4 linked regions of the Saccharomyces cerevisiae S288C genome follow. The gene in region 1 interacts genetically with each later gene. Each region holds a gene or a part of one and is shown on either strand. Other genes may lie near its edges.

What was found.
Region 2: mutations in TMA17 (region 1) and YJL218W together harm fitness more than expected from each alone (negative genetic interaction), as found in Saccharomyces cerevisiae (2 studies listed by BioGRID).
Region 3: mutations in TMA17 (region 1) and RPT3 together harm fitness more than expected from each alone (negative genetic interaction), as found in Saccharomyces cerevisiae (2 studies listed by BioGRID).
Region 4: mutations in TMA17 (region 1) and BIL2 together harm fitness more than expected from each alone (negative genetic interaction), as found in Saccharomyces cerevisiae (2 studies listed by BioGRID).

Annotation. Positions count from the first base shown.
Region 1 is NC_001136.10:263,950-266,935, forward strand, and holds TMA17 (Tma17p), read right to left. Parts: upstream 1,016-2,986; coding exon 563-1,015; downstream 1-562. Other genes in the region: exosome non-catalytic core subunit RRP42, read right to left, coding at 1-161; YDL109C (putative lipase), read right to left, coding at 1,309-2,986. UniProt on the Saccharomyces cerevisiae protein: ATPase-dedicated chaperone that assists the formation of the RPT6-RPT3 ATPase pair, an early step in proteasome assembly.
Region 2 is NC_001142.9:20,260-23,088, reverse strand, and holds YJL218W (acetyltransferase), read right to left. Parts: upstream 1,117-2,829; coding exon 526-1,116; downstream 1-525. Other genes in the region: hexose transporter HXT9, read right to left, coding at 1,889-2,829.
Region 3 is NC_001136.10:1,260,028-1,263,546, reverse strand, and holds RPT3 (proteasome regulatory particle base subunit RPT3), read right to left. Parts: upstream 1,867-3,519; coding exon 580-1,866; downstream 1-579. Other genes in the region: SXM1 (Sxm1p), read right to left, coding at 1-223; SHE9 (She9p), read right to left, coding at 2,276-3,519. UniProt on the Saccharomyces cerevisiae protein: The 26S proteasome is involved in the ATP-dependent degradation of ubiquitinated proteins. The regulatory (or ATPase) complex confers ATP dependency and substrate specificity to the 26S complex.
Region 4 is NC_001139.9:464,482-467,436, forward strand, and holds BIL2 (Bil2p), read right to left. Parts: upstream 955-2,955; coding exon 562-954; downstream 1-561. Other genes in the region: KAP122 (Kap122p), read left to right, coding at 1-430; PUF4 (Puf4p), read left to right, coding at 1,660-2,955.

The sequences.
Region 1 (2,986 bases):
TCACTAGCTATAATTCTGGACGATCCATTGGAACTTGGTAGGAAGTCAGTAAATATTTCTATAGGTCTGAATTGATGAGGTAGTCTTCCATCGGGCCTAATTGAAGGCGTGCTTGCTAGTGAATCGTATAGGTACGACTTTTCGGCGACCGAAAGAGACATAAATGATTATTTCAACAGAATCTCAAACTGTCGTTGTGCTAGTCAAAAAGAATGCCTTTTGCCGTCTACAGACTATTAGTATCATTGTACTCCTTCACCATATAAGCTCTACGTTTCTTTTTTCTGAATATTAGAAAAAAATTTCGCCAACTAGGGTTCAAAATAATAGACTAGGGCACGGAAGAAAAGCACACCCTAGGGCTTTCGGAGATAAATTATTAATAGCGAGTTTTTTTTGTATTTACTTATTTTATTATTTCTTTAAGATATCTAGTAGTAAGGATAGAACGGGTAGATAGAATAGACAAATGGAGTTATTGAAATATTTATACGAAGAGATAGAACAGAGAGACAAAGAGTATGACGTGAAAATGATGCGCAGTAAAACTAAATCCCGTCTCTTAAATGAATATGCTGTTTGGTGTCACGACGTCCACATTTGAATTGTCCATGTCAACGTCAGGGCCCTTGTTGGTGTTGTCCTTTGCCTCTACCTCGTGCTTACTCTTGCCATGGCCCGTCTTTCTATATACCGTTTCTTGCTCCAATGCGTCCACTCTCTCATTGTAATTGTTTAGCACAATTTCGTTCTCCCTGACAGAGTCCTTGTACAGCGCCAGGTCTCCCGAATCAATGTTCTCCAAGTCGTCGCTGTCGTCAGCTTCAAGACGGTCGTCAGCACCCTCCAACTTAGCTATGTATTTACCCAAGCGGGCGTTAGACCTCTGCAAATGATTGATACTGTTCTCAATTTCTGTTTTAATCTGTGCCAACTCCATGTCGGACATGCCGCTTATCGCCGTCTTAAATTCTTCGATCTGGATTGGTCTTCTGATACCGCCTGCTGAGCACATTATGTTACTTGTAGTAGTTATTATGTTTTGATTTGCTTTATGTTTTATAAAGATCTTACCCCTCTTTTTGTCAAGAGAAATAAGCTTCTGAAGTATTGTTTTCCTGGTGAAAAGTGTCTTATTTATATGGAGAAGGGATATTCGGCCTCGGTTTTAGGGGAGGAGCTGAAGAGTTGTCCCGCTCGAAAAAGACCCGTAAGCGCATTTATCGAACTACGAAGTAAAATGGACTTTCGTAGGTGTGGACAATAGTAAATTGCAAGTCAATCCCGGGATGACGTCAAGATAGACAGTCAATCTGTCACAGAGGAATGCTTGCTAATCCAGGAGCTGGCGAGCTGGCTAGCTGTGGAGACTATTCCACCATGGTACACACTAGGATCCTCGATCTTGGTGAGCCATGAGTAGAACTTGTTTGGTTCCACCCCTCCGGTTGCCATGTTTATATCTTCCTCAGCAAACTGTTTATCTTGCATTGGTGAGGCGATTGGGTCATCTCTTTGGAAATGGGCGGTAACAAGGTGGTCAACCACCGGCCAGCCGTAAGCGTTGGAAAACCTTCTTCTTACGATGATGTTATTGTGGGCATCTGGTTTCAGCAATACCACGACTTTCCTCCAATGCATCCCCTTGTGCCAGCGGCGTGCTATGATTTCCTCCATCTCTTTTCTCGTCTTCCTCGTTTCGCCTTCCTTGGCTGCTGTTCCTTCATAAAGTGTTGGTGATGGAGGCGGTAAATTCTTTTCTGTGTAGATCTTATCATGTATGATTGTTGCGACCCTTGCATCGGGATCTGAGAAGAACTTTGCGTCGGGGCATGGTGATAGAAGCACAGACTTCATAGATTTGATGACGGAAGCATTCATCAAGCGTTTAGATTTCTTGTCGCAGTTATTTTCCTTGCTCTTCCAAAACGTGTTCCATGACGATGCATTGATTCCATCATCATCATTAGCAACATCGCTATGATTTGGAAGTTCCCCAATAGGACTTACTTCAGGCTGGAAGAGAGGATCACAAGGTGCCGTAGTTTGACCTCCCAGTTTCTGAAGTAATTGAGAGTAGTCCAAAAAAAGTAAAGAAGAGGAGTACAAGGGAACTATTCCGTCGTTGACGGCATTAGCATAAAGTGTTCTTCTTTTGAATCGAGCAAGCACACTGATTAAGGATTCCTCGGATAGCAGGTAAAGTAGGGGCTTATCACCATAATTTCCATCCTTAAGACCCAGTTCTTGCCCCGTAGTACCAATGATACCCATCGACAATGACATTTTTACGTAATTGGGCGTGCTGGTAGCAATGCCTAGCAATGGTGACGCCAGTGAGATAAAATTGATTGGCTCCACTTTCTTAAAGAAATATGGATATTTGGTCTTTATGTAACAAATAGCAAAAGTTTGTGTTAATCCACCCAGGGAATGACCAATAAATGAAATTTTCCCAACAGAGTCATCATATAACTCGTCGATGATGTAGTTTGCCAATCCAACACCCAAAAACTTAATACCCTTCTCAGTCTCACAAGCATTCTTCATATATCCCTTAATAACTAGTCGCTCATTTGGATTGTTCATTTGAGCCTTGTATATTTCTTCCATTAAGTATTCCATATCTGCCGAAACGTTTGATTGAAAACCATGCGTGAGAATGACTAAATGGGATTTTTGCGACATGTCTATGGGTCGTGGTACTTTCCATATATCTGCGGTGGTAAGTCTATGCACCGATAATCCTGTGTGTAAAATATTGCAGGCTTTATCAGGCAATGAATCATTACATCGTATTTTTCTTTTCAAAGAGGCCTTTGAATTGCCGACTACTATCTCAAAAGTTACCTTAGTTTCTTTATTAAATAGTATTTGACTGACAATATCCACTATCCATACATAGCGTGGCTTAATGTGGTGCAAGGACAACTCTGCAATAAACTTTTGTTGTGCCTGTAGGTTTGATTGAAATACTGGTTTATCC
Region 2 (2,829 bases), on another chromosome or scaffold:
GACTTTTGTTAATATTAGGTCAGGTTAAATACCTAGGAAATCTGTGCGTATAGGATCATCCCTTTCTAACTCCATCGAAAATGTTACTTGTTTTGTTCGAGGCTATTTGATGACCCTTTCATATGGACGCATGCAGGTGGCCATATTTTCAGTTTAAAGTTTCTCCGCATGTTAATTTGCGCTGAAAAATTAGAACGGTACTTATTTCCCCGAAAATTTCTCAAATCCGAACATAAAGCTACCAGCCACGCGTTTTCTATACGGTTGGAACTTGAGCAGTTTTACATAAGTTGTAAACTATAATTTTCTCCTCGAAGATAGATTATACCAGAAAGAAGCTACTATACACAGTCGAGTTGAGAATGAGCAACTTAAACCAGAACATATACCAATAATTAATAATCTCTCTGCGTATTTAGTCGACTAAAACTGAACTAGCTTTTTATTTATTCTTATAAGAAAATACGGTACATAATCATAGAAGACAACACTTGCTTTCGATAATTCCTCCAGAAAGTGGATCCATCATTTTCGATAGTTTGTAGTTGTACTATCTTTTTCAGTGATCTTTCTTATCACCTTACAAGGATTACCTGCTGCCACTACATTTTCTGGTATGTCACGAATCACAACACTACCGGCGGCAATCACGGAGTTTTTACCTATATTTACTCCAGGAATTATTGACACTCCACCTCCAATCCATACATTGTCTCCAATGGTCACAGGCATGGCATATTCTAATCCTTGAAGCCGTCTTTCCACGTCAATTGGATGACCTGCCGTATAAATACCAACATTAGGGGCGATAAATACGTTGTCACCGATGACTACCTTGGCCCCATCCAATATAACAAGATTGTGATTGGCGTAAAAGTTGTCTCCGATATAGATGTTACTTCCGTAATCACAGTAAAACGGCGGTTCAATTATAAAGTTATCAGTGCAACTACCAAGTAATTCTCTTATTACCTGGCTCTTTTTATTCTCATCAGCGGGGCTAAGGGTGTTGTATTCGTGCAATTTTATTTTAGTCTCTTTTCTAATTTTCAAAAGATCTGGATCATAGTTCGCATCATAAAGCTCACCAGGTACTATATTTTCTAATACGCCCATTTTTCTCTAGAAGCCTTGTTTATATGCTTATTAGAATGCTTCTCTATGTTCTTGTTGTAGTACGTGAGATCTCACTCTTTATACTTGCGTCTTTTCGAAGTAATGCTAAATAGTGCCTGGCCCAGCGTCACAGGGTGTTTAACGAGCGCGTACTATTTGTGAATTTTTTTGGGCACATTGAAAACTTTAATTTTTTAAGTTATTCAGGCACGGCACACTATGACAGGAGGTTACGTCGGAGAAATAGCGTTATGGCCGATTGTGAGAACATTTAAGAAATTTCAATCCATAACAATAAAGTGGCAGTGTCACCTAAAATATTAGTACCAACTTGCCCAATTGGCAGAAGGAAAATAAGGATATCAGGCCACCGACTTGGTACTATTTTTTTATGGTAAATGTGTACTTTTACTAAGCTTAATTTGAAACAGACGTCATATGAATGTTTCTGGGGCTACTTGTTACAATTCTCGGTCCGCAACAACTGAACTCTGTACTGTTCTGTCTCAATGCTTGGTTTCTTGAATGGAATTTCACTCCACCCTTCGGAACGTTACAAAATTTATACATTTTAAAAATTATTCATGAGAGAAAGATGCTATAGTAATCTGTTCACCCTGTCAACTCGTGTAGCTCATGTTTATCATATAATTTCTAGTTCTATAAGGCATAACAAATAGTCCGTTAAGGATTAAGGCGTAAAAAAGTAAATATTGTATATAATAAATAATTAAGTTCATGTATTTTTTTCCAGTTACTAAAAACCGGAAGATTAGCTGGAAAAGAACCTCTTGTAGATTGGTCTATCGTCATGGTCTATGGCGTCAGCATCGTAATCTGCGGTTCTTCTTTCTGGTGGCACCCATGAGGCTGATTTCCATGCTGGCACACCTTCCAGCCACATAGTATTCACCTCCTCCAGCGTCAGGCCTTTTGTTTCTGGGACAAAGAAAAAGACATAAAAGTATGCAAAAACCAGACAGCCTAAGAATACATAACCGTAGTAAAAGTTGATTGCCCCGGTAATGAATGGGGTAAAGAAACTAATCAGGAAACCCCACATCCAGTTTGCAGCTGTTGCGATTGCCATTCCTCTTGATTTGACCCTAAGAGGAAACGTCTCTGAGACAATAACGTAACAGCCGCCTGCCCAAGTGGTGGCGAACGAAAAAATGAAGAACATAGTAAACACAATCATACAGTTACCGGCGCCCTGAGAAGTAATGTCTTGGTGACTGCTTCCTTGAGGCCACAACTTTGTCACACCGACGGAGGCAAACACAGCAAAGCAGCATAGCATAGAAGCAGCACCCCACAATAGACACGTACGGCGTCCAAACCTCTCAATGGTGTATACCGCTATGAATGAAGAGAAAAAATTAACCACACCGATAATGATCGAAGTCTGAAAGGAGTCCTTTAGACCGACAGATTTGAAGATGGTGGTGCCGTAGTAAAAGAAGTAGTTATCACCGGTTAATTGCTGCAGCGATTGGATCATCACTCCCATGAGAACACGCTGAAAGACCTTTGTTTTAGTGGAGAGTAGTTCAGACCATGATGCGTTACCTGCCAGCTTTTCAAGTTCGATTCCCGCCTTTATAGTGTCATATTCTGCTAACAAGGCTGGATCGTCGACTGAGACTTTGTTGGATTTCGAAAGTGAACGTTTCGCTTCCTCATCTTTACCAACCTCAATCAGGTAACGTGGTG
Region 3 (3,519 bases), 1.0 Mb from region 1:
TCTTAGTATCCCATGATCTGTGAATCTTATTCTTCAAATAAATAGCAGAAGAAAGACGAACATTTAGCGCAAAATTATCATCAGACACTATATTAAGCAGAAAAGAAGTAAACCCAGGTTGCTTCTGGAACTCAAATAACTGCTGTTCTGCCTCTTTGATAATTTTTGCATCAGCAACCATAGTCTGCTCAATGCAGCTCAAAATTGCCTGTTCTTGTACCATTTCCTTTTTTGATTTATCTCCTTTGTTGTAGACGGGCGCAATGTTAAATGTTTATGACACAAATCGAATAGCAAATCTACACTGGGATGAAGCAGAGACTGCGTACTTGATATTTTGGTTGTACTTTATTGATTGAGATACTTGTTGATAGGTACTCATCTTACCATCTCATTTGGAAAAAAAAATATCACAGAAAAAAAAAAGTGAAAAACTTGGCTAGCGACGTCCGGTTGCGCGCGGAATAACGCTAAGAAACGTGATAAAAAAGTGGCGTCTGTATTTATTTCATTTAGTGTTGTCTAGATAGAAATGTACGTAATACTTTATGTAGACCTACGTTGAAGCATATATGGTAATCATTTGTAGAAGTCGAATTTATCGACGGTATTATCTGTCTTGACTTGAGTGGCGTAAGCTTCTTCCAGATCGCTTTGTAAGATGACATATCTGTTTTTCCTCACTGCTCTTAAACCAGCTTCCTGCATGATCGCTGCAATAACAGCACCTGATAGAGAGTCGTTACGAATAATAAGCGAGTCTAAGTCCGCTTCTGGGGCAAGGGACATCTTACTGGCAATGGTACCGAAAATCAAACGACGTTCACGCCTATCACGAAGTGAGGGAAACTCAATCTTTCTATCTAATCTGCCTGGTCTCAGCAAAGCTGGGTCCAATGTGTCTGCCCTGTTTGTAGCCATGATGACTTTAACGTTGGTGGATTGATCGAAACCATCCATTTGTGTCAACAACTCAATCAGGATACGCTGTACTTCACGATCGGAACCCGTTTGAGCATCAAAACGCTTTGTGGCAATGGAATCTACCTCATCTATGAATATAATGGATGGAGCATTTTCCCTGGCGAGTCTAAAGACGTCACGAACCATTCTTGGACCTTCACCAAGATATTTGTGAACAAATTCGGAGCCATTAACTCTTATGAATGCAGCTTTTGTACTATTGGCGACGGCTTTAACAAGCATCGTCTTACCGGTACCTGGTGGACCATATAATAGAACACCCCTAGGAGGGTCAATACCGATTTGCTCGTATAGATCAGCCTGAACTAATGGCAGCTCTACGGCTTCCCTGATTTCTTGCTTTTGCATATCTAACCCACCAACATCTGCATAAGTGACGTCAGGTTTTTCGTTTTCGCCCATTACGGATATGCTAGAGTCGGAATCAGGTGGTAGGATGTCAACTAAAGCATTTGAATGACGATGTAAAGCTACAGACATAGATGGCTTTAATAGTTCACGGTCTAGGGTTGATAATATTCTAACGACATAACTCATACCTGTGGTACTAGAAACAATACCTGTGTTCTGATCAATAGGTTCTAAGAATTGCCCGATAACTAATGGAACCGACTGGATTCTCTTTACTTCTTCTTGAGCTCTCTTCAATTCACGTTTCAAATGGCGTTGTTCGTCCTTAATATAGTCTTCTTGCAAAGTCAGCAGTTCATACTCTTTTTCTAATTTCTTCAATTTGAAATATATATCAGAATTCACATTAGACAGGGCACTGTTATTGTTGACTGTACCATTGAGTTGAGCCAACAATGATGCGTATGATTTGACGGCTGGTTTTTCTTCGACTGCCTTTTCGACAGGTGTCACAATACCTAGTTCCTCCATTCTTGTTGTGGTTTTTACTTTATAAATACTTGAATTTTATCCGATTGCCTCTTGTATAACTTATGAGTGAAAGGAAATAGGCAGAATTGGTTTGTCCACACACTGAGAATCTGAGCCCTATTACTTCCTATATTCATGGCTATACCCAATTACTGCAGATTTACTATTTTGCCACCTTACTTTCAGGAAAAATATGAAAGGGCACATCGCGCGCTACGAAGAGCCAAACATTAGAGAAATTTTGATTATAATGGATTACACCAGCTAAACATTAGCTAGGTAAGGTTAAGGATATTGAAACCAAAACGTGCTATTTACTGTGTATTTATGATTTTATTATGTACAAGGATAAAGGATGAAAAAAATGCATGCGTGTTTTTTTAACGATATTCTTGCGCAGTATATCATGTCATATCAGCCCGGATACCAAGATTGTCATACTCACTAAAGAAATTGAGTATAAGTAGAACTCTAAGGTGTCAAAGACTAGGGGAGCGTCAAGTTTCCTATATTGTATGCTTTTTAGTGTGACAAAAAGTGCCTTTATTCGTTCCCAAATATCTCTGAAGGATTTCATTTCTGTTGTAGTGGTCTCAGCCGTTGCAACTTCAGGCCTGTCGATTTCCGCCGTATTAATTTTACATTCACCTCTCTGTTCTATGTGCTCTTCAACGATCGAGTTTTCTGTGTTGCCTTGGTCTGTTACTTCCGATGATTTTCCAGGTAACAATTTATCCATCTTCATATTCTGCTCCTTGGCATATTCGTTGAGAGCGCTTTTGACTTTGTCTTCAAACGATCCTACTAACCTTTTCCGTTTCCAAGGTTCTAATAGTAATTGTAGGACAATAAACAAGAATATATTCATACCCATTAAGATGAATGTACCCCAGGTGGATGTTCTTCGGATTTTGTCTGACCATATTTGTTCCTCATGGTACCTGGTCAAAATTGCTCTATACAAGTCGTCATTTAGTTGTTCTTCTTTGCTTTCAATTTCTTTAACCTTGTTTTTTAGTTCTTGCTCCTGTCTAGCATTCAAGGCGTCATTTTTGTATAGCTGCGTAAATCTCTCTAAATCGCTCGAAGACCACGCGCTTTGCCTTTGCAATAATTCGTTAACTTCTCTTTGGGATTGAGCACGTTCATCAATGGCGTTAGCGTACTGTGCCTTAAACAGTTTGTGTTCTTTCTTTGTAGCTTCTAATTTTTTTTCCATTAGACTGATGCTAGATTTGAGCTTTTGAATTCCAGAATAACCGGTCACATCATTTAAAGCACGTGTGGCAGTAAATAACGTCTCCTGTAATGAGTCAAAATAAAACTCTAACTTTCTAGACCATTTTTTTCTATGTTGTTCCCTTTCGGAGGGCAATCCTTCAATTTTCGCACTGGTCAATTCATCTTTATTATAGTTTAAACGGGAATCGTTGATTTCATTCTCTTGCTCAGACAACTTCCTGTTTGCCTCTTGAATTGATTTTTTGGCCTTGTTAACTTGAAAGGATAATTGATCTCGGTGGAAGTTAAACCTAGAATACAATTCATTTAATTTCTTTTTCAAGTGCTGCCATTGAAGTTCTATATTTTCTTTCCAAACAGCGTTATTAGGTGTCCGTATTTCATTTTTATTAGTGCTGCCTTTATCAGGAG
Region 4 (2,955 bases), on another chromosome or scaffold:
GACATCATTTATTTTACCTCAATTTTTAAAATTAATACCTTCAAGAGAAAAGTTCACAATTGTTGCGGTGGCAAAATTTTGGACTAAGTTGATCAATAATAAGAAATACAACCAAGAAGAACTCACAACTGTTAGGCAACAAGTTTCCTCTATAGGAGGAGACCTTGTGTACCAAATTATGTATGGCTTATTCCACACACAAAGGTCCGATCTGAATAGTTACACAGATCTGCTAAGAGCTTTGGTAGCCAAGTTTCCAATTGAAGCAAGAGAGTGGCTCGTTGCTGTTTTGCCCCAAATATGTAACAATCCTGCAGGTCATGAAAAATTTATTAATAAATTACTTATTACGAGAGGAAGCAGAGCAGCTGGAAATGTTATTTTGCAGTGGTGGTTGGATTGTACCACACTTCCAAATTACCAAGGATGATTTGTTAAGAATTTCTCCGCTGAGGGTGAAGGCTATTCTTTGTTACATTTTATTTAGTAATGCGTTGATCCTTTTTGATAGATTTTTTTTTTGTGCTTTAAAGATAGTAGCAGTATATATGTGTGTAAAAGCTAATCATCAGAAGTGCAGCATTCATTGCTAGTATTTAGTGATAAAAATTTTAGAATTTCCATTTCTAATTGTAATTGCTTTTCATTCCAATACATGTTTGAGCTTCTGGGGGGTAAAAATACATTTCCAGACAGGGCGTCAGGTTGAAAGCAGTTACTGAAACATAGAGAGTCGACGTCAGGAGGAGGCTTCAAATGGTTTTCTGAAAGTGATTCGGTCTTATTTTTCCATTTTCTAAAATGGTGAATCCTTTCTCTGGAAATGTGTGATCCCTTTGCCTTTTGTGAAAACTTTTTTAACGAGCTTTTTAGGTTATTAGTTGTCTCAAGAAGGTTTATGGGCCCGCTGGTCTCGATATCTGCGTAATTTAATGGACGTATCGTGTCTTCCATGGAGTGAATTGTGATTTGTGAATTATATCTGTCCAATACCGTTGCCTTGTTGGGAGCTCAGATAGAAAAGACATCTTAATTCCAGACAGTCTATTCTCTGTCTATTTCTCTTTGTGACTGCAAATTTTAATTTGTGACGCCTTTTCTTATTACTCATGTATTTGTCACTCTTGACGATTGTTTTTTTTCTATATTTTTTTTGTTCTGGGGTCCTCCAGAGAATAAAAAATAATGATCAATATAGTAGATAGTATAGTTATATTCTTATTCGTTGCACCTTGTTTAACAAATCACTCAGACTCAAAGAGAATATCGGTTGGTTATCTCTCTCCGAAGGTGAACAGCAAACAGTACCTCACGTCTTTTTTTTGAATAGTTTTTTTTTTTGTTGAAACAGAAAAAAAACTTTCTTCCGTATATTACATTGTACATTATTTTTATTGTATTTTAGTTTCCAACGTTAGGATTTGAGCCGTCATTAATATTATTCGTTTTTGTACACTATTCCAGACGATTTATTTTTAGTACACTTAAAATTCCTGTTGATATTGTCCACTAGTTCTCTTTTCATATTTTATTTTCGCTTATTCTTTAGGTTCTTTTAAGAGTCTCTGTTCATTTTCCGTTCTTACTGTTTCTTTGTCCTCGATATCTTTTAAGAAAGAGAGAACTAAGCGCTGTAACATTTTTAAGTGGACCTACGTTATGTCTACAAAAGGTTTGAAAGAAGAAATCGATGATGTACCATCAGTAGACCCTGTCGTTTCAGAAACAGTCAATTCTGCTTTAGAGCAGTTGCAACTAGATGATCCAGAGGAAAACGCCACCTCTAATGCATTTGCGAATAAAGTTTCTCAAGATTCTCAATTCGCTAATGGCCCTCCGTCGCAAATGTTTCCACATCCACAAATGATGGGTGGAATGGGCTTCATGCCCTACTCTCAAATGATGCAGGTTCCTCATAATCCTTGTCCATTTTTTCCGCCCCCTGATTTTAATGATCCAACAGCACCATTGAGTAGCTCGCCCTTGAATGCAGGCGGTCCACCAATGTTATTCAAGAATGACTCACTTCCATTTCAAATGCTGTCTTCGGGTGCTGCGGTAGCAACTCAAGGTGGACAAAATCTAAACCCATTGATAAATGACAATTCAATGAAGGTATTGCCAATCGCATCGGCTGATCCGTTATGGACTCATTCAAACGTACCAGGATCAGCATCTGTAGCCATTGAAGAAACCACCGCTACTCTACAAGAAAGCCTACCATCTAAGGGCAGGGAGTCTAATAATAAGGCTAGTTCGTTCAGAAGACAAACTTTTCATGCTTTATCACCAACTGACCTTATCAATGCGGCCAACAATGTAACCTTGTCAAAGGACTTCCAATCTGACATGCAGAATTTTTCTAAGGCTAAGAAACCGTCTGTAGGAGCTAACAATACTGCAAAAACCAGAACTCAATCCATATCTTTTGATAATACTCCCTCCTCAACGTCATTTATACCCCCAACCAATAGTGTTTCTGAGAAATTATCCGATTTCAAAATAGAAACCTCGAAGGAGGATTTGATTAATAAAACTGCACCAGCTAAAAAAGAGAGTCCTACAACTTATGGTGCAGCATATCCATATGGGGGACCTTTACTTCAACCAAATCCTATTATGCCAGGCCACCCACATAATATATCCTCCCCTATCTATGGTATTAGATCACCTTTTCCTAATTCTTATGAAATGGGCGCGCAATTTCAACCTTTCTCTCCGATTTTAAATCCTACGAGTCATTCACTAAATGCAAATTCTCCAATTCCTCTAACCCAATCGCCAATTCATCTTGCACCAGTTTTAAACCCTAGTTCAAATTCTGTTGCCTTTTCAGATATGAAGAATGATGGTGGTAAGCCCACCACCGATAACGACAAGGCGGGTCCAAATGTTAGGATGGATTTAATAAATCCTAATCTTGGGCCATCAATGCAACCTTTCCACATATTACCT